Linked DNA regions of Arabidopsis thaliana. The protein of the gene in region 1 purifies or fractionates together with the protein of each later gene. This does not show direct contact. Each region holds a gene or a part of one and is shown in the gene's direction. Other genes may lie near its edges.

The links.
Region 2: the proteins of AT3G01890 (region 1) and ARP4 purify together in Arabidopsis thaliana (affinity purification with mass spectrometry; 2 studies listed by BioGRID, with this or other methods). This does not show direct contact.

Annotation. Positions count from the first base shown.
Region 1 is NC_003074.8:305,082-314,177, forward strand, and holds AT3G01890 (SWIB/MDM2 domain superfamily protein), read left to right. Parts: upstream 1-4,925; 5' UTR 4,926-5,250; coding exon 5,251-6,575; intron 6,576-6,639; coding exon 6,640-6,691; 3' UTR 6,692-6,992; downstream 6,993-9,096. Other genes in the region: AT3G01870 (hypothetical protein (DUF946)), read left to right, coding at 195-1,946; AT3G01880 (vacuolar sorting-associated protein (DUF946)), read left to right, coding at 2,701-4,479; CYP94B2 (cytochrome P450, family 94, subfamily B, polypeptide 2), read right to left, coding at 7,278-8,768.
Region 2 is NC_003070.9:6,346,310-6,357,421, forward strand, and holds ARP4 (actin-related protein 4), read left to right. Parts: upstream 1-1,738; 5' UTR 1,739-1,889; coding exon 1,890-1,902; intron 1,903-1,991; coding exon 1,992-2,083; intron 2,084-2,198; coding exon 2,199-2,363; intron 2,364-2,440; coding exon 2,441-2,514; intron 2,515-2,589; coding exon 2,590-2,670; intron 2,671-2,760; coding exon 2,761-2,821; intron 2,822-2,958; coding exon 2,959-3,008; intron 3,009-3,150; coding exon 3,151-3,205; intron 3,206-3,410; coding exon 3,411-3,488; intron 3,489-3,565; coding exon 3,566-3,619; intron 3,620-3,693; coding exon 3,694-3,747; intron 3,748-3,816; coding exon 3,817-3,877; intron 3,878-4,032; coding exon 4,033-4,084; intron 4,085-4,432; coding exon 4,433-4,499; intron 4,500-4,624; coding exon 4,625-4,687; intron 4,688-4,771; coding exon 4,772-4,834; intron 4,835-4,930; coding exon 4,931-4,993; intron 4,994-5,088; coding exon 5,089-5,153; intron 5,154-5,241; coding exon 5,242-5,310; intron 5,311-5,411; and 3 more. Other genes in the region: AT1G18440 (Peptidyl-tRNA hydrolase family protein), read left to right, coding at 1-23, 94-178, 400-467, 581-631, 717-790, 970-1,028, 1,112-1,188, 1,264-1,377; AT1G18460 (alpha/beta-Hydrolases superfamily protein), read left to right, coding at 6,373-6,413, 6,983-7,156, 7,245-7,650, 7,730-8,013, 8,120-8,188, 8,279-8,335, 8,416-8,468, 8,561-8,636 and 1 more; AT1G18470 (Transmembrane Fragile-X-F-associated protein), read right to left, coding at 10,098-10,176, 10,367-10,446, 10,546-10,626, 10,771-10,840, 10,928-11,002, 11,093-11,112. UniProt on the Arabidopsis thaliana protein: Involved in several developmental processes including organization of plant organs, flowering time, anther development, flower senescence and fertility, probably by regulating the chromatin structure.

The DNA of each region.
Region 1 (9,096 bases):
CAAATTTAAAACATCTATAAATATTTCTGACTGAATTTAATCAATTCCCATTTTACATATACCTTACTAAAACACTCTTTGACTAAAAAACTTAAAACTATAATAGTACCTATCTTGGGGAACATAGAGGTTGAAGGTTACACACACCTAAATCCTAAATGTTGCAATCTATTGTTAACTAAAGAAAGAGTAGAATGCATTCATCTATTGGAAAAGCCTTTGAACTTTTCTGTTTTCTTGTTATTTTAATTGTTAACCATGTGTGTTGGATCCAGGCACAAGGCAACTCCGATGTGAATTCTACAGCAGTGAGCAGATCTACGGATACATTTCTTTCTTCTACAAGCTTACCTGTGGAGACAGCCTTCACGTTTCCATCGGCTTTACCTGTCATCCCTTCGGGTGGTGGAAATTTTGGGAAAGGAAGGATAGATCTCGGAGGTCTTGAGGTGATCCAAGTCTCCATCTCAACCTCAACATCACAAAGAGTATGGAGGACATACGAGGGAGGTCCCGACAACATGGGGCTCTCTATCTTCCAACCAATCAATCTTCCTCCCAGCTTCTCCACTCTTGGCTTCTATGGGCAACCCAACAACCGCCTGCTTTTTGGGTGGGTTCTTGCTGCAAGAGACGTGTCTGGAAATAGCTTGAGGCCACCCGTTGACTACATTCAAGTCATAAACACTACATCAATGAATATCAACCAAGAAGGGGCTGCTTTTTTTTGGCAGCCCCTATGTCCCAATGGATATCAAGCGGTTGGTCTATATGTCACTACTTCTCCTATAAAGCCATCTTTAAGTCAAGAATCTATAAGCTGCGTTCGATCCGATCTTACGGAACAGAGTGAAACCGATACATGGGTTTGGGGGACAGAAGAAATGACTCTGTCTAGTTTGAGACCGGCCAACAGAGGAACAGAAGCAACAGGTGTACACACAGGGACATTCAGCTGCCAGCCATTGAACATCCCTCCTCCCCCTCCTCTGTTTTGCTTGAAAAACACAAAATTTGACTTGTCTAGCATGCCAAGCCATAATCAAACTACCGTTTTGTTTCAATCGTATTCTCCTTGGATATATTTGCATCCAGATGAAGATTTTATTTCTTCCTCTGTCGACTGGTTTTTCTCCAATGGTGCCCTGTTATTCCAGAAAGGCAACGAATCCAACCCCGTCCCTGTGCAACCGGACGGTTCAAACCTTCCGCAGGGCGGTTCGGATGATGGTTTATTCTGGTTAGACTATCCGGCTGATAAGAACGCAAAGGAATGGGTTAAGAGGGGAGACTTAGGACACACGAAAGTGTATCTACACATCAAACCAATGTTTGGAGGCACTTTCACTGACATTGTCGTGTGGATATTCTACCCTTTCAACGGTAACGCCCGCCTCAAGTTTTTATTCTTCAAGAGCCTGTCGCTGGGGGATATCGGCGAACATATTGGAGACTGGGAACATGTTACGTTGCGCATCAGCAACTTCAACGGAGAGTTATGGCGAGCATACTTCTCTGAGCACAGTGGGGGAACTCTAGTGGAGGCATGCGATCTTGAGTTTCAAGGTGGAAACAAACTTGTGAGCTACTCGTCTCTTCACGGACACGCAATGTTTTCAAAACCAGGACTTGTGTTGCAAGGCGATGACGGAAACGGCATAAGGAACGACATGGCAAGAAGTAACAAATTCTTTGACGCAGGTGTTGCTTATGAGCTGGTTGCAGGACCGGGGATTCAGGAGCCACCGTGGCTCAACTATTTCAGGAAATGGGGACCACTTGTCCCACATGACATTCAAAAGAACCTTGAAGGTATCGCAAAGTCATTGCCGGGACTTTTGCGGAAAAAATTCAGAAATCTGATTAACAAAATCCCTCGTGAAGTGCTTGAAGAAGATGGTCCCACTGGACCCAAAGTCAAAAGGTCTTGGACCGGTGATGACTAATTTTTCATTCATGTCTGATTAAGGTTAACAATTTATTACAATTGGGTACACTTTTCTTTATTTAGTTATTACATATTACATCTCAGTTTTTGCCCAAAAAAAAAAAGTTATTACATCTCATTTTTTCAAGAATTAAAGATTGGCATAAGTGTTTTTTAAAAAGGACTCGAACCCAAAAATAATAATTAATATTATATGGATATCTTGTCTTATTAATTCCATAATATATATATGATGTGGTTGAAAATTAATAAGTGAAAATGATTAAAAATCTGATGTGATTACTTATTTAAGAAACAAATTAATCTCCTCTAAAAATCAAATTCAGAATTTGTGGGAGACATTAGTATCCCCTTTTCCTACAAAAAAAAAACAAGACAAATTAATCTCCTCTAAAAATCAAATTCAGAACCTCCTCGTAGCCATCTATGGTATCATGTTTCTTTGACTATCACAAAAAATATAATACATTCAGATTTTGTTTTTAAGCTTATGAAATCAATTTGGAAATTTGGTATAAATATTTATATTCAATGTATATGTATAGGTTAATTATGGAATTATTTTCATATTGCAAAATATACAATATTTTGTGCTCTGATCATTTGTTGATTTTTTGCATAATTGTTTTTTGTAGTCATCAACTGTTTCATGTGTTCCTTTTCTGACAGAATTATAATTATATATATGTAATATATATGTAGGGAATGAAGGTTGCTCACCTAATCTTAAAATGATTAACTGACCAAAGAAAATGCAACTCTTGTATGAAACCTACTTAAAATTTCTATTGTTTTTTGTTTTTCTATTTGTTAAGCAATTGTCATGGGCAGAAACTGGAACTAACCCTTTGACCAACATTTCCTACGTAAATTCTTTAGGGTATCCATTCAAATATCCTTATCTTTCGTCTAATGGTTTACCGGTGGAAACAAGCTTTAAATTTCCTAGTCCTTTGCCTAGTATGCCTTCCGATGGTGGAAATTTTGGCAAAAGAAGCATTGATATGGGAGGTCTTGAGGTTACTCAAATCTCTATCTCAAACTCAACATCACACAGAGTGTGGAGAACTTATGAAGGAGGGCCGGATAACATGGGAGTCAGCATCTTTGAACCAACTACTATTCCTCGTAATTTCTTCAAACTTGGCTTCTATGCACAACCTAACAACCGACAGCTTTTTGGTTGGATTCTTGTTGCAAAAGACGTATCGGGAAGTAATTTAAGACCACCAGTCGACTACACTGAAGTTGGAAACACTACAACATTGCTTATCAAACAAGAGGGGCCTGCATATTTTTGGCAGCCCCTATGTCCTAATGGATATCATGCGGTTGGTCTATATGTCACTACTTCTCCTATGAAGCCCTCTTTGGGACAAAATTCTATAAGCTGTGTTCGATCTGATCTCACAGAACAGAGTGAAGCCGATACATGGGTATGGAGGATAAAAGATATGACTATTTCTAGTTTGAGACCGGCCACGAGAGGAGTAGAGGCGACAGGTGTGTTCACAGGGACATTCAGCTGCAAACAACTAAACTTTCTTCCTCATCCCCCTCCTTTATTCTGCTTAAAAAATACAAAATTTGACTTGTCAAGCATGCCAAGCGAAAATCAAACTAGAGTTTTGTTTAAAACGTATTCTCCTTGGATATATTTACACCCAAAAGAAGATTTCCTTCCTTCCTCTGTCAATTGGGTTTTCGCTAACGGTGCCTTGCTACACAAGAAAGGAAACGAATCCATCCCGGTCCCGATACATCCAAATGGTTCAAACCTTCCACAAGGAGGTTGCAATGATGACTTGTTTTGGTTAGATTATCTAGTCGATAAAAAGGCTAGAGAAAAGGTTAAGAGGGGAGATTTAGAGAGCACTAAGGTGTATCTACACATCAAACCAATGTTTGGAGCTACTTTCACAGATATTGTAGTATGGCTATTCTTTCCCTATAACGGAAATGCACATTTAAAATTTTTGTTTATCAAGAGCCTGTCGCTAGGAAATATTGGCGAGCATGTTGGAGACTGGGAACACGTTACATTACGCATCAGCAACTTCAATGGTGAGTTATGGCGTGTTTACTTTTCTGAACACAGTGGAGGAACTTTAGTGGATGCATGCGATCTAGAGTTCATGCAAGGTGGAAACAAACCAGTAGTATATTCGTCTCTTCATGGGCATGCAATGTTCTCCAAACCTGGAGTCGTGTTGCAAGGTGGCGGCAAAAGTGGAATAAGGAACGACATGGCAAGAAGCGACAAATGCTTTGACGCAGGTATTGGATATGAAGTGATTGCGGGACCTGGCGTGGTTGAGCCACCGTGGCTGAATTATTTTAGGAAATGGGGACCTCGAGTCCATTACAGGATTGACATATTTCTCAACTCTGTCGCAAAGATTTTGCCCATCTTTTTACGGAAAGGTTTGCGAAAACTCATCAACAAAATTCCTTTAGAAATGCGGGGTCAAGATGGTCCAACTGGTCCCAAAGTTAAGGTGACTTGGACCGGTGATGAACAATATTCTTAGTGTTTTATTGTGAATTATTGCATTATGTTATATATCAATAAGGTTTACATTTGTCGAAAATAATCATTGTAATTTCTAATTAGTAACAATAATACTATAGAATCTGTTAAGAATTAAGATGTAGATGTGCTAATTAAAAATTTTAGAGTTATTTGGGAAAAAAAAAGGTTGTCATGATCTTAGTTTTAGAGTTAAAAAATAGTATTTATCTGGAAATAAATTGGTGTAGATTATTAAGAGTTTTTTTAAAAATAATTTGGATTAGATTTAATTTGATTTTTTACCTATAGTCATGGAATTAGATTTATTGCCGAGAAGCAATATTGATCCATCTAAATATGGACCCACGAACCATGGCCGTTGGGCCTTTAACTAATGGTTGGGTTTTGACCCGGTTGAAGAATTCAGGTGGGCATTGATAGGTCCGCCGTGTCTTTTTTTTTTTTTTTTTTTCGAAGAAGAATCATCTTCATCTTCTTCTTCCAGAGGGAATTGAATTTGTTTTCTTTCTCCTGGAGTTGAGATTATACGCTTTCTGCTGTATTGAAGAAGAAGAAGTTGTGTCCTATATCTTACTATTTAGATTTGGGGGGAAATTGATTAGGGCTCTATCCTCGCGCAGCACTAAATTAGGGTTACGTTCGGCTTAGAAAGGGCAAAATTCGATAGAGTGTGTGTGTTGTGATTTTGATGAGGTTCTTCTAGCCAAAATTACTGAGTAACTACTGTCGACACCAATTTGGGATTGTATTCAATTTTTTGTGATCAGCAATGTCTGGGAATAACGAGTTGAACGCACTAAAAGGGCCTCAAAGCTCTCTGCCTTGGCCATTTGGAATGGCCTCTGCATCGTTTGCTCCCTCCCACATGGCCCCTCCTAACTTTCAACCTCAGTTTCAGCTCTCTCAAGACCAAGGGATTAGTGCTCCTGGAAGAAGGTTCCCACATAAACCTCCCATTGGAGGACCTCCTGCTGTTCCTCCTAGTATGGAGTTGACTCCAGCTTCCAGGAAAAAGAAACATAAGCTTCCAGACAAGTCCTCCTTGCAGGAGCGCGTTGCTGCCGTCTTGCCCGAGTCTGCTCTCTACACACAGCTTCTTGAGTTTGAGTCTCGGGTTGATGCCGCTCTCTTCAGAAAGAAAGTTGACATCCAAGACTCCCTTAAGAACCCTCCTTCCATTCAGAAGACCCTTAGGATCTACGTTTTCAACACCTTTTCCAACCAGATCCCTGGTCCTGACCCTCCCACATGGACTCTTAGGATTTTCGGCAGGGTCCTGGATCCTGACCACACTGGTGGATTAGTTCAGAATTCAAACCCACTTTATCCCAAGTTCTCGTCTTTCTTCAAAACGTTAAAGATATCCCTGGACCAGAGCCTGTATCCTGAGAACCATCTGATCGAATGGAAAAGGGATCGATCGCCTGCTCCTCTGGAAGGGTTTGAGATAAAGAGGATAGGGTGTCAGGAGTTTGCAGCTACTATACTGTTGGAGATGAATTACGTCCCTGAGAAGTTCAAGACTTCTCCTGCTTTGATGCAAGTTTTGGGCATTGAGGTTGACACTCGCCCAAGAATCATTGCGGCAATCTGGCATTACGTGAAAGTCAGGAAACTGCAAAACCCAAACGACCCTTCTTTCTTCAACTGTGATGCTGCTCTCCACAGTGTTTTTGGGGAAGAGAAGATGAAATTCACTATGCTCTCTCATAAGATATCTCAGCACCTATCACCTCCGCCTCCCATTCAGCTTGTACACAAGATCAAGCTTTCGGGGAACAATCCAGCCATCTCAGCATGTTACGATGTGCTTGTGGACATACCAGCACCGGTCCAAACGGAGCTTTCCAATCTGCTCGCTAATCCAGAGAAGAACAAAGAGATTGAGGCATGTGATGAAGCCATATGCGGAGCCATAAGGAAAATCCACGAGCACAGAAGGAGACGGGCGTTTTTCTTAGGGTTTAGCCAGTCACCGGTGGAATTCACCAATGCCTTGATGGAATCTCAGACCAAAGATCTGAAGCTTGTTGCAGGAGAAGCAAGTCGAAACGCTGAGAAAGAAGGCCGATCAGAGTTCTTCAATCAGCCATGGTAATAATCTCTACTGTTCTGCTTTTCATCACTTGTCTTACAATCACTGAGAATTCTCTTGCAGGGTGGAGGATGCTGCAATACGTTACTTGAACCGGAAGCCAGCAGGCGGGTAAGATGCAGATGGGCCAAGAAGTTCATGAGTTCACTACTTTTACCTAGAAGTCACTTAGGTCCAGGACACTTGATCAGTGTCGTTCCTTATAGGTTTTTTTTCTAAGTGAAACATTGTTACTCAAGTTTCAAGAGTTTTTACTTTGGTTTGTAGCTCGTGCATCATATGCGACAAAATATAAGAAAGATAAATACTTGACTTTTTCACTTTCTTTTGTAGATTCCACGTACTGACTTCCAATTGGCTCGATCTAGTCTTGTAGAATAATAATAACGTACGTATTATTATGGATAGAAAAAGACCAAGGCATTGTGCTCTCACGTTGAACTTTTAATATAGTCATCATCCCAAGATGATAACAAATGCAAAATGGGTCATTTTCAAACAAAAATATAATAACTGAGCTAATATTGGTTGAATTTTCTTCAAAACTCAAAAATTTAGTAGAGACTTTATGACTTGGATTGAAAAAAAAAAAAAAAAAGTTGAGTTGTTTACCCAAAGGAGAAAATAATTTTGGGTATGAATGATCATAGAGACGTTTTACATAAAATAAAAAGCCATGATAATTGACTTTGTTTGTATATTCAAGGGGAAAGAGAAGGATCTCTCCGATGAACGCGGACTTGCATCCCACCAGCCATGTGAGCCGTGAGCATTGGCACAAAATCCGGTTTATCCGTAGGGATCGGTTCAATCTCAAACCGGTCAAGTATGGAAGCCACAATATACTTCATCTGCACGTACGCCATCTCTTCCCCAAGACAAACCCTTGGGCCGGCTTGGAAAACCGGAAACTTGAACGGATTCACCTTTTTCAAAACTCTGCAGCAGGTTTTATCATAAGACTCAGCCCACCGGTTTGGTTTAAACTCATCCCAATCTTCCCCCCATAGCTCTTCCATTCTCCCCATACCATATGGAAAATACGTTACCCGGTCTCCGGCACGCACCAACGTACCGTCTGGTAACCGGTCATCGGTTAAGGCGTGTTTGGAGTCCCACGGCACCGGAGGATACAATCGCATCACTTCACACAAACACGCTTTCAACAAACTCAGTTTCTTCAATGATTCGTAATCAAAACCCCCCGTTATCTCCTCCTTGACCGATCGGATTTCACTAACCAGATCGTGCTCGGTTTCCTCGTGACCGGTGATCAACCAAAACAGCCGTGTGGCTACCGCCGACGTGGTGTCCCTCCCCGCCATTATGATACTTATTACCATATCTCTCACCGTCTCGTCGCTTTCTCCGGCGACGATCAACCGCGAGAGAAAGTCTTGGTTGGCAGGCTTCCTCTTCTTATCCCGAATGATCTCATCGACGCAGTTATGGACTTCTCCGACGGCTTTTCTGAGCTCTTTCTCAGATCCAAAACCGACCAGTCTCTTAAACTTCCACACAAAAGACAGCGGTGCGGAACCGCGTCCAGCGCTGACCGCAGAAGCTGTCTGAAAGGCTCTGTCGAACTCAGAAACGGGGGAGGAAGGGTTTAAAGTGCAACGATCGATCCCGAGGAAAACAATGCAAACAATATTGAAAGTGAATCTACGGAGAAGCTCCTGAAGATCGAAGGGTTGTGAATCTTCCGCAGCTGCGTTTAGAAACGCTAAGAGCTCCTTCTCCACCTCGTTTCTCAAAACGGTGACGTATTCTCTCAGCGACTTTGGGGTGAAGTCGTGTGTAGCAAGTCTCCTCTGCTTTAACCAGAGGTTTCCGTCAACGTTGAAGATCCCGTTGCCGAGAAAATCTCCGAGGATCTCCGTAAAAGGTTTGCCTTTGGGATAGTTGTCGAAGTTTGTTTTGAGGATATACTCCACGTTCGAGGGGTTCGCCGTCACTACGGTTCTCCGTGCAGCTAAGCGGCGAATGACTACCGTCCGACTCGGGGATTCGGTTAGGAGCTCTGTATACCAATCCAGTAACCGGTTTCGGTTGGTATAGAATGAAATTAAGCATCCGATAACCGGGTATGTTTTCGGTGTAGAGTTGCGGCAAGAATATATCACATGTTTTCCCGCAGAGACAAGCAACAGCACAAGGACAAGAAGAAGAATAAAAGTTGAAGCTTCCATTGTTGATGAGCTTCAAAACGACAAAAGGAGGCAGGAGGAAATAATGGTCAATACTCAATAGAGATTTGACGCACGAGCTTGAATTCATCATCTTCATGGATCCCATTCATATAATATTTTAGTATATGCTTTGATATCTATGTATAAACTACTCCTATTTTCAAAGACTTTCCTCAATAATCTCTAGTTACTTTCCATTATTTTTTACCACCCAAACTTCATCTCATTTGTTTTTTTTTCTTAAATAATCCTCTTGCTTCTTCAATCTTCTACACACTAAAGTATATTATTTCATCGAATGATAAAAGTAATTGAGGTTGTAACATTA
Region 2 (11,112 bases), on another chromosome or scaffold:
AGTACCAGGGCACGCGCCACAACGTATGTCTCTCTCTTGCTTTCTCACTTTGCATTTTCCTTTTCAGCTCGGTAACGTGATCATGAATTGCAGGTTGGTTTTGAGATGGTGGACGCTTTGGCTGATGCAGAAGGCATCTCCATGAACACTGTTAACTTCAAGGCCTTGTTTGGGAAAGGTTCTCTTTTTCATTCTCTTATCTTCTCCATTGTGAATTTTCATTTTGAAATGGTTTTCTTATCTCAAAGTTTGAAACTTTCAAATTTCATACGTCTCAAATGTTTGATGAGGGTGATAGAAACAATGGCTAACTGTTTCCGGAGAATGAATATTGAAATAAATATCATTTTCTGTCTCTGGTTTGTTTCTAACTTTGGGTATTGTTTTCCTTTATCATAGGCGTTATTGGAAATATACCGATTATGCTGGCTAAACCACAAACTTTCATGAACCTAAGTGGTGAGTCTGTAAGTGAGCTCATCGGAAACAAACTTTGGTTTATTTAGTTAACCAATCTCTTTAACTTTTATCACTTGTTATTTTGATTCTTTCTGTTTATGATTGCTGGAATTCTTTGAAGGTTGGACAAATCGTTTCATTTTACAAGATCCCGTTAAAGCAAGTACTTGTGGTATACTTAACCTTCTCTCTCGCTTACTCTCCAAATTCTGGCTCTAGAGTGCATATGCCGTCTTAATTTTTTTTGTCTTTTTCAGGTTTACGATGATTTAGATTTGCCCTTTGGTAAACTACGTTTATTGCCAAAAGGTGGTCACGGAGGCCACAATGGGTACAATGCTTTTCACTCTCTATCTGGCCTGTTGATGTTTTCATTTGTGTTTTAACTTTTAAGTATTGTCTTACTTTTTACTTAAGAAGCAATGTGGATGGATAATAGTTTGCGGTTTCACTATCAAATCATAGAGAAACTCTACAAGAAAACATGATGGGTTGTTCTTTTACTTGCAGGATGAGAAGTATTATAGACCGCCTCAAAGGTAGCCGTGATTTTCCTCGACTAAGAATAGGTACAGTTCTCATTTTTCTCCACTCCGACATATCTTCCCATTTTCTTCTCTGGTTTTGCAAATTGTCGAATGTTTCATTTCAGGGATCGGACGTCCTCCAGGGAAGATGGATACAGCCAATTTTGTTCTCCGCCAGTTCAATAGACAGGAACAGGAAGAGGTAGAAGCAGATTTATCCCATAATTATCTCAAAAAATTTCAGAAAGACATAACCTGATTGTTTTTGGTTTTGCAGTTGGATCACACATTCCAAACCGGGTTAGAGGCAATAAGGATTCTTTTGCTTGAGGGGTTCAACAAAAGTGCAACATTTGTCAACACTCGAAAATCTATGGAGCAACTCAGTTAGAAGTGACATTGTTACATTACATATATTCATATAACAAACTACAAAGTGTTCTTGCTGATTCATTAATAATTTTTTTTTGGTTCCATACTTGAATCCTTTTTGAGCAAATTGTACATCAAAAGATAACCAGATTATTTGTTTATCATAATTTCTATTATGTAACTCGAAAATATGGATTTCAGTATTTGTTCGGCTGTAATTTAAATTATACACTTTCATTAAGCATAGACATTTTATTTGGCAATAAATCAGCTTCGTTTACTGCAAAAAGGGTGGTCACAAAAGTTGGTTCGGTTTAGAAAAATTGTGTTCGGTTCGGTTAGTTTCTTGAATAATTTAAACCCGACGGATTAAATGAGAGGTTTTGTGGTCCCCACAACTCGAACTCAGTAAAACCAAGTCGACCCGATTCAGCTGGATCCGAGATTACAGAGAACCCCGTCCCGTGTTTAAACCCTCCGGCGACAAAGCTCAGATAGAGAACCGCTCCACCCTTGTCGTTCGCTGCAGCCATGTACGGCGGAGGTGGGTTTCTCTTTAAACCCTTGAATTGCTTTGTCGTTTATCTTTTGAGACATTCCTGAGCTGTTTTTTTCCGTGGTGGGTTTTCACAGATGAAGTGTCAGCTATTGTGGTTGACTTGGGTTCGCACACTTGCAAGGCTGGTTACGCCGGTGAAGATGCTCCCAAGGCCGTTTTCCCTTCCGTAAGTCTTAATTACCAGCATTTTATGTCACTATAAGCTTAATGGTGTTATTGTAGATTTGCTCAAGTCCCTTGTATCTTCAGACTCTTAGTTTTTTTTTTGATGTGTTCATAAGGTTATTGGGGCAGTAGATGGTGTAGAGGCAATGGATGTGGATGTTGATTCTACAAAGACTAATTCGAACTCTGAGGATTCGAAGACCGAGTCTGAAAAGGAAAAGAGCAAACGCAAGCTCTATGTAGGATCTCAAGCCATGAGCTACCGCAGAGATCATATGGAGGTTAGTTTTTCTCCTTGATTAATGTTAAAGTTTATAACTTTGTTGGTGAAATTACAGATTGCATTTTCTCTCACCAGGTTTTGTCACCTATAAAAGATGGCATCGTTTCTGACTGGGATTTGGTGGACAATATATGGGAACATGCTTTCAAGTAAATGTGTAAAGCATTATATTTTCTCTTAATTGTTGTTTGCATTTCATCTCTAAAAAAACTTTGTCTTTTAAGGAGTTGTCTGATGATTGATCCTACGGAGCATCCAATGCTGCTAGCTGAGCCTCCTTTAAACACTCAACAGCAGAGAGAGAAGTATGATTTATCTGCTTTGAAATATCCTTTATTACCACTGTTGCTTTATCTTGGTGTGTTACTGATTTTCTCAAATCATATGCTTGACAGGGCGGCAGAGCTAATGTTTGAAAAGTACAAAGTTCCGGCACTGTTTATGGCTAAGAACCCTGTATATTCCCTCTCCCTTGGGTCATCATTCTTTTTGATAGATTATTATATGACGTTCACTGTAATGTTGATATCCAGTCAGCTCTTGTGTAATCAGATGTCTAACTATCTACATGAATTTGGTGTTTTTGGTGCTAGGTTCTCACGTCTTTTGCTACTGGGCGTGCTACTTCTTTGGTTGTTGACTGGTAAGACTTTAAGTATTAAAAGTTTCTCTAGTATGTAGAAGCTACTAATGTTCCACTTCTGCTCTATATGCTGTGAAAGTCTACCTTGTTCTGTATGGTGTATAATTTGAGAAGCACTGATGACACTTTATTGTATTTCTAGCGGTGGAGGATCCACAACCATTTCACCGGTGCATGATGGTTATGTTCTTCAGAAGGTACTTGTATTACACGATTTAGTAAGAATTCAGCTTTGTGATGCTGTTTCTTTGGGTTTGGATTTTGTACTGCAGGAGAAAGTTTCCCATCTCTCGTTTCCATAGTCATCTGTAGCTGCTATAAATTCTCATCCATGTGAATTATGACCTACAGCATTGATGTAGATTGTGATTCTCCGATTGTTGACCATACTTTTATTCGCAGGCTGTTGTATCGTCTCCACTTGGAGGGGAATTTCTCACTGACTGCCTACTGAAAAGCTTGGAGAGTAAAGGAATTAAAGTAGGTTAAAAAAATTCTTCACTGTTCTTTTCTTTTAAGCCAAATTATCTGAGTGATACTGGTTATTTTTTCTGCAGATAAGACCTAGATACTCTTTCAAGAGGAAGGAAGTACGAGCAGGGGAATTCCAGGTGCATATGTGGATCAGTGAATGAAACTACTAGCAGTGAATAGTCTCTAATTTCCTCCCTTTGAATCCTTGCAGGTTGAAGATGTGGATATTCCTGACACCACGGAAAGCTACAAACTCTTCTGCCAGGTCTGTAATTGATTATGAAACTTCGTTTGAAAATTTCAGTTGTGATAATTTGGTGATTTGTTTCAACAGAGGATGATAGTGGGTGATATCAAGGATTCCATTTGTCGAGTTCCTGATACTCCCTATGACGGTACCTTATGTTATTCTGTCTGTCTCTGGTTTCATAAATTTGTTTTATTTCAAAGTTTAAAGTTGCTTGAGAGTTGAACGTTAGATACTTTTTATCTTTCAATGTCATTTGATCGCATAGCCTTAGTTTTTCTGATGTGATGCATTTATCTGCAGATAAATCATATTCAAACATCCCTACTACGTCGTACGAGCTTCCTGATGGCCAGTAAGCTCAGTTTATATGTCTATTTCGGTTTATTTGTGCCTCAAATGTACATGCTACTGTTGCTTTTGTTTTCTACGTATAAGGTTTGAGCTTAGTTTCTAGCCAAATGTACCACTGCTCTGAACCTTGTTTAAGCTGAGATAAGTGCTTAGTTGGATCTGAGTCATTAAAGCCATTGGGCATAAAAGTTTAGAAGAGTCAGACATTGCTTTGGAAACCTGCATGGAACCTAATGTTCATAATGAGAATTAAGTTAAAAGAAAAAGTGCTAGCTTCATTGAAGACAGGAAGCTGCACCTGTAATTTTTGTAGTCTTTCTCAATATCTTATTAACCATGTCTGTTGAAGGACGCTCGAGATTGGTGCTGATAGGTTCAAAGTTCCTGATGTGATGTTCAACCCGTCCATAGTCCAGGTACACCATTTGAGCACGATAAATTCAACAGAAGATTCTGAAGACATTTTGTTTCTTATCTTGAGCGTTTTGAGCCTCGAATTATTTATCAAAGGTTTCTTCTCCGTTTTTATTGCAATTTGCAGACGATTCCTGGAATGGAGAAGTATGCTGAGATGATTCCTTCCGTTCGTGGGTTACCACACATGGTATATGCATGGTATTTAGTCATTGCAAAGCTTCCATCTCTTAACTTTTTCTAACTTTACTCTCCATTTTACTGACTTGTACAGGTCATGGAGAGCATCAACAAATGTGATGTAGACATCCGGAGAGAGTTGTATAGTAGCATACTGGTAAAATAGCAATCAATGCCAACTCTTAAATACCCCTACTTTTAGTTTCGTTGGATGTGGATGATTAACATTTCCTTTCTTCTCGCATTATGCCAGCTTGCTGGTGGCACATCGTCAATGCAACAGCTGAAAGAACGTCTCGAAAAGGACTTGATCGAAGTATTGTGTCCTAAACTCTTTTCCTCTGTCTTTAAAGCTATCCCAGTTTTTATGATGGCGAAAATCATTCATTGGTCCCTCTATCTTTGTTTCAGGAGTCTCCTCACTCAGCTAGAGTTAAAGTGTTGGCAAGCGGTAACACAACAGAAAGAAGATTCAGGTCTGGATTTAGTGTTCACTTCTTCCTCTATAATGAGACCCAAATTTTTTTGCTTGGATCAACCAACAAACATGTTATGTATGTGCAGTGTATGGATAGGAGGGAGTATATTGGCATCACTAGGCTCATTTCAACAGATGTGGTTCTCCAAGTCTGAGTAAGTCTCTGTTCTGATTTTCCATTAATCAGACTCGCAAAGAAACTATAGTTTGTTTTCTCTCCTGACACTCGGATTTGGGGTCTTGGTGTAAATGGCAGGTATGAGGAACATGGAGCTTCCTACATTCAGAGAAAATGCCCTTAAAGCAGGCAGTTTCAGATTATGTGGAGTCTGACAAGACGAAACTTGGAAACTAATGTGTTATTTTCATTGTGCATCGTTGTTCCTTGAAGATTATTAGTATTCCGCCTGAACCTTTTAGAATGAGTGTCATTAACAAGCATTATAGTGCTATTTTAAAAACATAAAAACATGTGGAAGAAGTTTCGTTGCTTTATTAGATTTTCGCACAATCAAGACCGTCCACGTTTTGTTACTACGAACCAAGATAATCCACAAAATTAACAAGAAAATAACAAATCCGAAACTACAAAAAGCAGCTTCATAAGTTTTCTTTTTCTTTTTTAAAAAAGAAGAAAAAATCAGCTTTATCGTGCCTCTCAAAAAGCTAATGACTTCGAAGTTCCAAAATTCCGGTCTTCGAACATATTTTATAGAATAGCAAAATGTTTTGAACCACAAGATTATTAATAATATAAATAATGTAATTGATATTGGTAAGTAATAATACTTTTATTAATCATAAAATGGTCTGAATAATAATAAAGACAAAATGGACGTAACTTCTCCGCCACTACAGACTTACGTGTCATGTCTCCATATCCGCATGCAAAATCCAATAGATGACACATTCTAAATCATCCAATTATATACGCCCACGTGTCAACCTCTGTCTCGTCTCTCTAAATAACGTTTACCGACCTTCTCTTGTGGACGGTAAGAATCGCCGGCGTCCCCTAATATATCGGATTTCAATCCAAAGACACACTCACAATTTAAAAAAAAACGTTTCTTTTCTCTTCGATTCCCGATTACGGCTTTTGATTTTGTGGGACTCTTCTCAGTTTTTCTGGGCTTTTGGTTTTTGGATTCTATCTTCTTTCATTTTTCAGATTTTTTATTTTATTTTGTTGTATTTCTATATTGGGAAACAAAATCATGCAGAGGATCGTCGATAATGCTCTTGCTATCACAAAAGAGTGAGTCCCTCTCTCTTTTCGATTTCACCATTAGTCTGTGCACGCTTATTGATTTTGTGATTTCTGATTTGTTTTTTTAGTTGCATGTTTAGTGGTTTTAGTAATTTGATATGTGATTTCAACTGTTTTGTTTCCTTAATTTGGATTTTAATTCGATTAGATTTTCTCAAATAGTAATTCGATTTGCTTTAGATATGGAAGTTGCCAAATTTTGAGCCAGTGGTTTTATAGTGGAGCTAGGAGCTAAGTCTATATCTTATATCTTCTGATTTACATTAATCTTGAGATTTAGTGGTATATAGTTTTACTAATTTGGGGATACATTTCTGATTTACCATTTTTAGTTAGTTGTTGAAGGTTTGTTGTCTCTTTGAAGAAAGTATACATATTGACTCTTTGTCCTGTAATAATTACAGCGATTCTCGTTGTATCTGCGGATAGTTTTCTTTGTTTAATGCTTGTCTGTTTGGGTTTTTGGTGTTCGTTGTGGGTTTTTGATTGGTATTAGGATTGTTTGTGTTAGTCTAAAATAGTTTTAAGCTAACTAATGATTTTGGTTTTTAGTGCAGGTCAGTGAAAACTCTGACTTATGAGTCTTTGAACAACATTGCAAGATGCATTAATGGATTTTCTGCGCTTCTCTTGACACTTTTGCCCGGAAAGTCCAATGTTCTTGAAGGTCTTCATGGATGGGAGCTTAGGCCTACATTGCGTGGACCTCGTTTACCACGCTGGATGCATAAGTAAAACTCTCTTCAACTCTCTAATACTTCTTTGTGGTTACCTTATAGCAGCTTATTCGACTCTCTTTTGATTTCTGTGGTTTTGCAGTGGAGTCTCTTCTTTCAACCACTTCATTCACGAACTCTCTGTGGATTCTGATACTTCTAGCTTGGACTATTCCTCTGGTGATGATGATAGTGATGGCATGTCCACGCCTCCATCACCCTTGTCTCAAAGCTCACTCCGCTCTTGGGCTAGTCTTCCTGCCAATTACGAAAGCCATTGGACAGACTGGATAACCTTCATTGTCTGGTGGGCTTTACTACCTGCCCGGATCCTTCTATGGGTACCATTATATCTTTTACGTCTTTTAGCTAGAAGAAATTCAAGAATGCAGCCTCTGAGCCCAGGAAGGTACCAACATTCGTCTAGACCTTGTTTTAGCAAAGCTATCTCAGGGAAAGAGCATGACGTGCCCAACCGAACTACTGATAAAAGACGCGGAGTCATTGAGGTTAGTGTTGATGGGCATACTTAAATCACATTTCTTGTTTTTGAGTTTTCTTACGCAATTATGTGTTCTACTTTGGCAGGATCTTCAGCTTGGTATCGAGATCTTTATAGAAACAATATTTGATTTCTTTCACAAGGCGGCACATCTTCTTCTTTCTCCATCAGAAACTTTTGGAATAGTTTTATCATGGTTCTCTTCCTCCAGTCACAGCTCTAAAGGAAACTATGGTGACGTTTCGGATGATGAGATCATTCAGACTGCCATTCTAGGAGATAACGATTCATCTCTTACAGAAAGAAGAACCACAACGAGCTTATACAATACAGATACCCGGACCTGTCAAGATGTTATAACAGAGCTTGGGTAAGGGGGGAATGTGTAGAAGATATTTCGTGCATAGTTGTTTTTTACTTCTGCTGTTACTCAACTATTTGCCCTTTCGATTTAACTTCTCTTATAATCTTGATAGGTATCCATATGAAGCTATTCGTGTTGTTACATCTGATGGATATGGTCTTCTCTTGGAAAGGATACCAAGGTATAGAATCTATTATGGTTGAGTAAGTTTCTCTATAGTCTGTTATGTTTCTGTAAGTTCCTTTAAAATGTAATCATCATGTCTTTCCAGACGAGATGCGAGGAAAGCTGTTTATTTGCAGCATGGTGTAATGGATTCTTCAATGGGGTGAGTTTCATTGTCTTTTTCGTTGATGACTTGTCAGGAAATGTTTTGCCTTGGTTTCTCATCTGGACCTTTATCTTCAGATGGGTATCAAATGGTGTTGTTGGATCACCAGCTTTTGCAGCTTATGATCAAGGTCCGTGCCAAAATATTCCTAGTTTCCCAAGTTACTGTATGATAAATATGAAGTTAAGATTTACCGATGTTTTACTCTGCTTTTCTTGCCAGGCTACGATGTTTTCCTAGGGAACTTTCGTGGTTTAGTTTCAAGAGATCATGTGAAAAAAAACATATCCTCAAAAGAGTGAGTAGTATAGAATAAACGGCTTCTTTATGGATTTGATATTTGTATAGTTCTTATTGATGAATCCTCAAAACATGCAGTTTCTGGCGTTACTCCATCAATGAACATGCAACGGAAGATATCCCAGCAATGATAGAGAAGATTCACGAAATCAAAACTTCAGAACTGAAACTTTATCAGCCTACTATGGAAGAGGTAGTAAACGAGGATCAACCGTATAAGCTTTGTGTTGTATCTCACAGTTTAGGCGGTGCCGCGGTTCTGATGTATGTAATCACCCGTAAAATCGAAGAGAAACCGCACAGACTCTCGAGACTGATCCTTCTTTCGCCTGCTGGGTTTCACTATGACTCCAACATGTGTTTCACGTTGATGGAGTACACGTTCCTTTTCTTGGGTCCTGTACTATCTCGGATTGTTCCTGCTTTCTACATCCCCACTAAATTCTTCCGGATGCTTCTCAACAAGTTAGCTCGAGATTTCCATAACTATCCTGCTGTTGGTGGATTAGTCCAAACATTGATGAGTTATGTAGTTGGCGGAGATAGCTCAAACTGGGTTGGAGTCATGGGATTGCCTCACTATAACATGAACGATATGCCAGGTATATCCTTCCGTGTGGCTCAGCATCTTGCACAGATTAAACATAGCGGTAAGTTCAAGATGTTTGATTACGGTAGCAGTTCAGCTAATATGGATGTTTACGGGTCCCCTGAGCCGCTCGATCTTGGGGAGTTTTATGGGTTGATCGATGTGCCTGTGGATTTAGTAGCTGGAAAGAAAGACAAAGTGATTAGACCTTCAATGGTTAGGAAACATTACAGGGTGATGAGAGATTCAGGAGTAGATGTTTCTTACAATGAGTTTGAGTATGCTCATTTGGATTTTACCTTCTCTCACCGTGAAGAGCTTTTGGCGTATGTGATGTCGCGGTTACTTCTCGTGGAGCCAACGCAGACTCAGACGGTTCATAAGAAGGGGATGAAGCTGAAGAAGAAAATGGAAACAGGCAAACCTCATCTGTGAACTACTAGAAGAGGCTTTTATAGAGTTTATGTTTGTCGTCTTTGTAATGTTTTTTGTTCACGAAAGTCGGCTTTAAACAATTTATGTATATATGAATATGGTTTTTGGTATCTCTATTTATGTCAGTGTCACTTTCCATAACAATTTAAGTCGTGGACATTAAAGCATAACTTAGTTTGTGATTTATACAAAAAAGAGATGGATATTATACAAACTTTGTATGTTACAGCTAAAGTTTGAATGAGGTTTCCTACAGAAAAATACATACACGTATACACCTATACTTTTTTTTATACTAGCTGCTGATTCAGACAAACAAAAAGATTCAGCAAAAACATCAGAAGTTTGGGAAACAGTATGGTTGGTAAACTGGAATGTTTGTCTGGAGCATCAACCACAAATCCTACTCTTGATCATGGGCCAAAGTTAACACAGTCATACGTCGTATACAGATAGTCGTTTTTCAATGTCTATACGACATATTGGACATGTTGTACACTTGTCTGCACAGGTTCTGCAACAAAAATGGCACAGAAACAAAAAATTGTGAACAATGACATTAAGTCAGGTATGACACTGAGTCCAATGAGTATATTGATATGACCTCAGTCCTCATAGATTCCTAGTTTCTTTGTACAGTATTTCTAGACGAATTGAGCGCAAATGCATAAAATTTTAAGTGTAACATGATCAAGTATCTTTACCTGCAGAGAACACGGTGTCTACATGGAAGCAGTACCAAACTGATATCTTTTTCAAAGCAAACCCTACACAGCACTTTCTCCTGGAGTAGAAGACACATTGACACAGGATTAAGCAAAGGGAAAAAGTAAAATCGAAACAAGAAAGTTACAAAAACATCATGGCTAATAAATGAATATACATTTTGCAGTCTTTCATATTCCTGCTGGCTGAATTTTGTGATTTCTGTTTGTTCACCAAGTGCTGCTTGAAGTCTCCACACCTAGAGATATCAAATTAGATTGAATGCAAACAACACTTAAGCAATGCTGAAACTAGAAGAAACAAGATTCAACAACAAAGAGAACCTAAAGTTAATATCAGCACTGAATTGGGAAACAAAAAAATGCCAGAGAGGTAAAGTTACCTCTTCTGCAAGATCTTCCTTTGGCATTTTCTTGACTATCTCAGGCGGATGACCACTGAATGTATTGTAACTGCACAATTATATTATAATGAAATCTTCAGCAGATCCCATAACATCTTTGTTTGACCATATAGAAGGTTGGAATATACTAACTAACCCAGATTCTTGATCAAAGTACAGTCGAGCTTGTTCCTCCCGGCTTCCTTCGTCAATTGACCACCAACCTAATAGCCTGAACAAGTGAATTGATTGATTGATTTTTTGTTAGTACTACATTTTGTAAATTAAAACTTTTGGGAAAATAGACAGACGTGTTTGTCACCTGGAACCATGGTGCAAGAA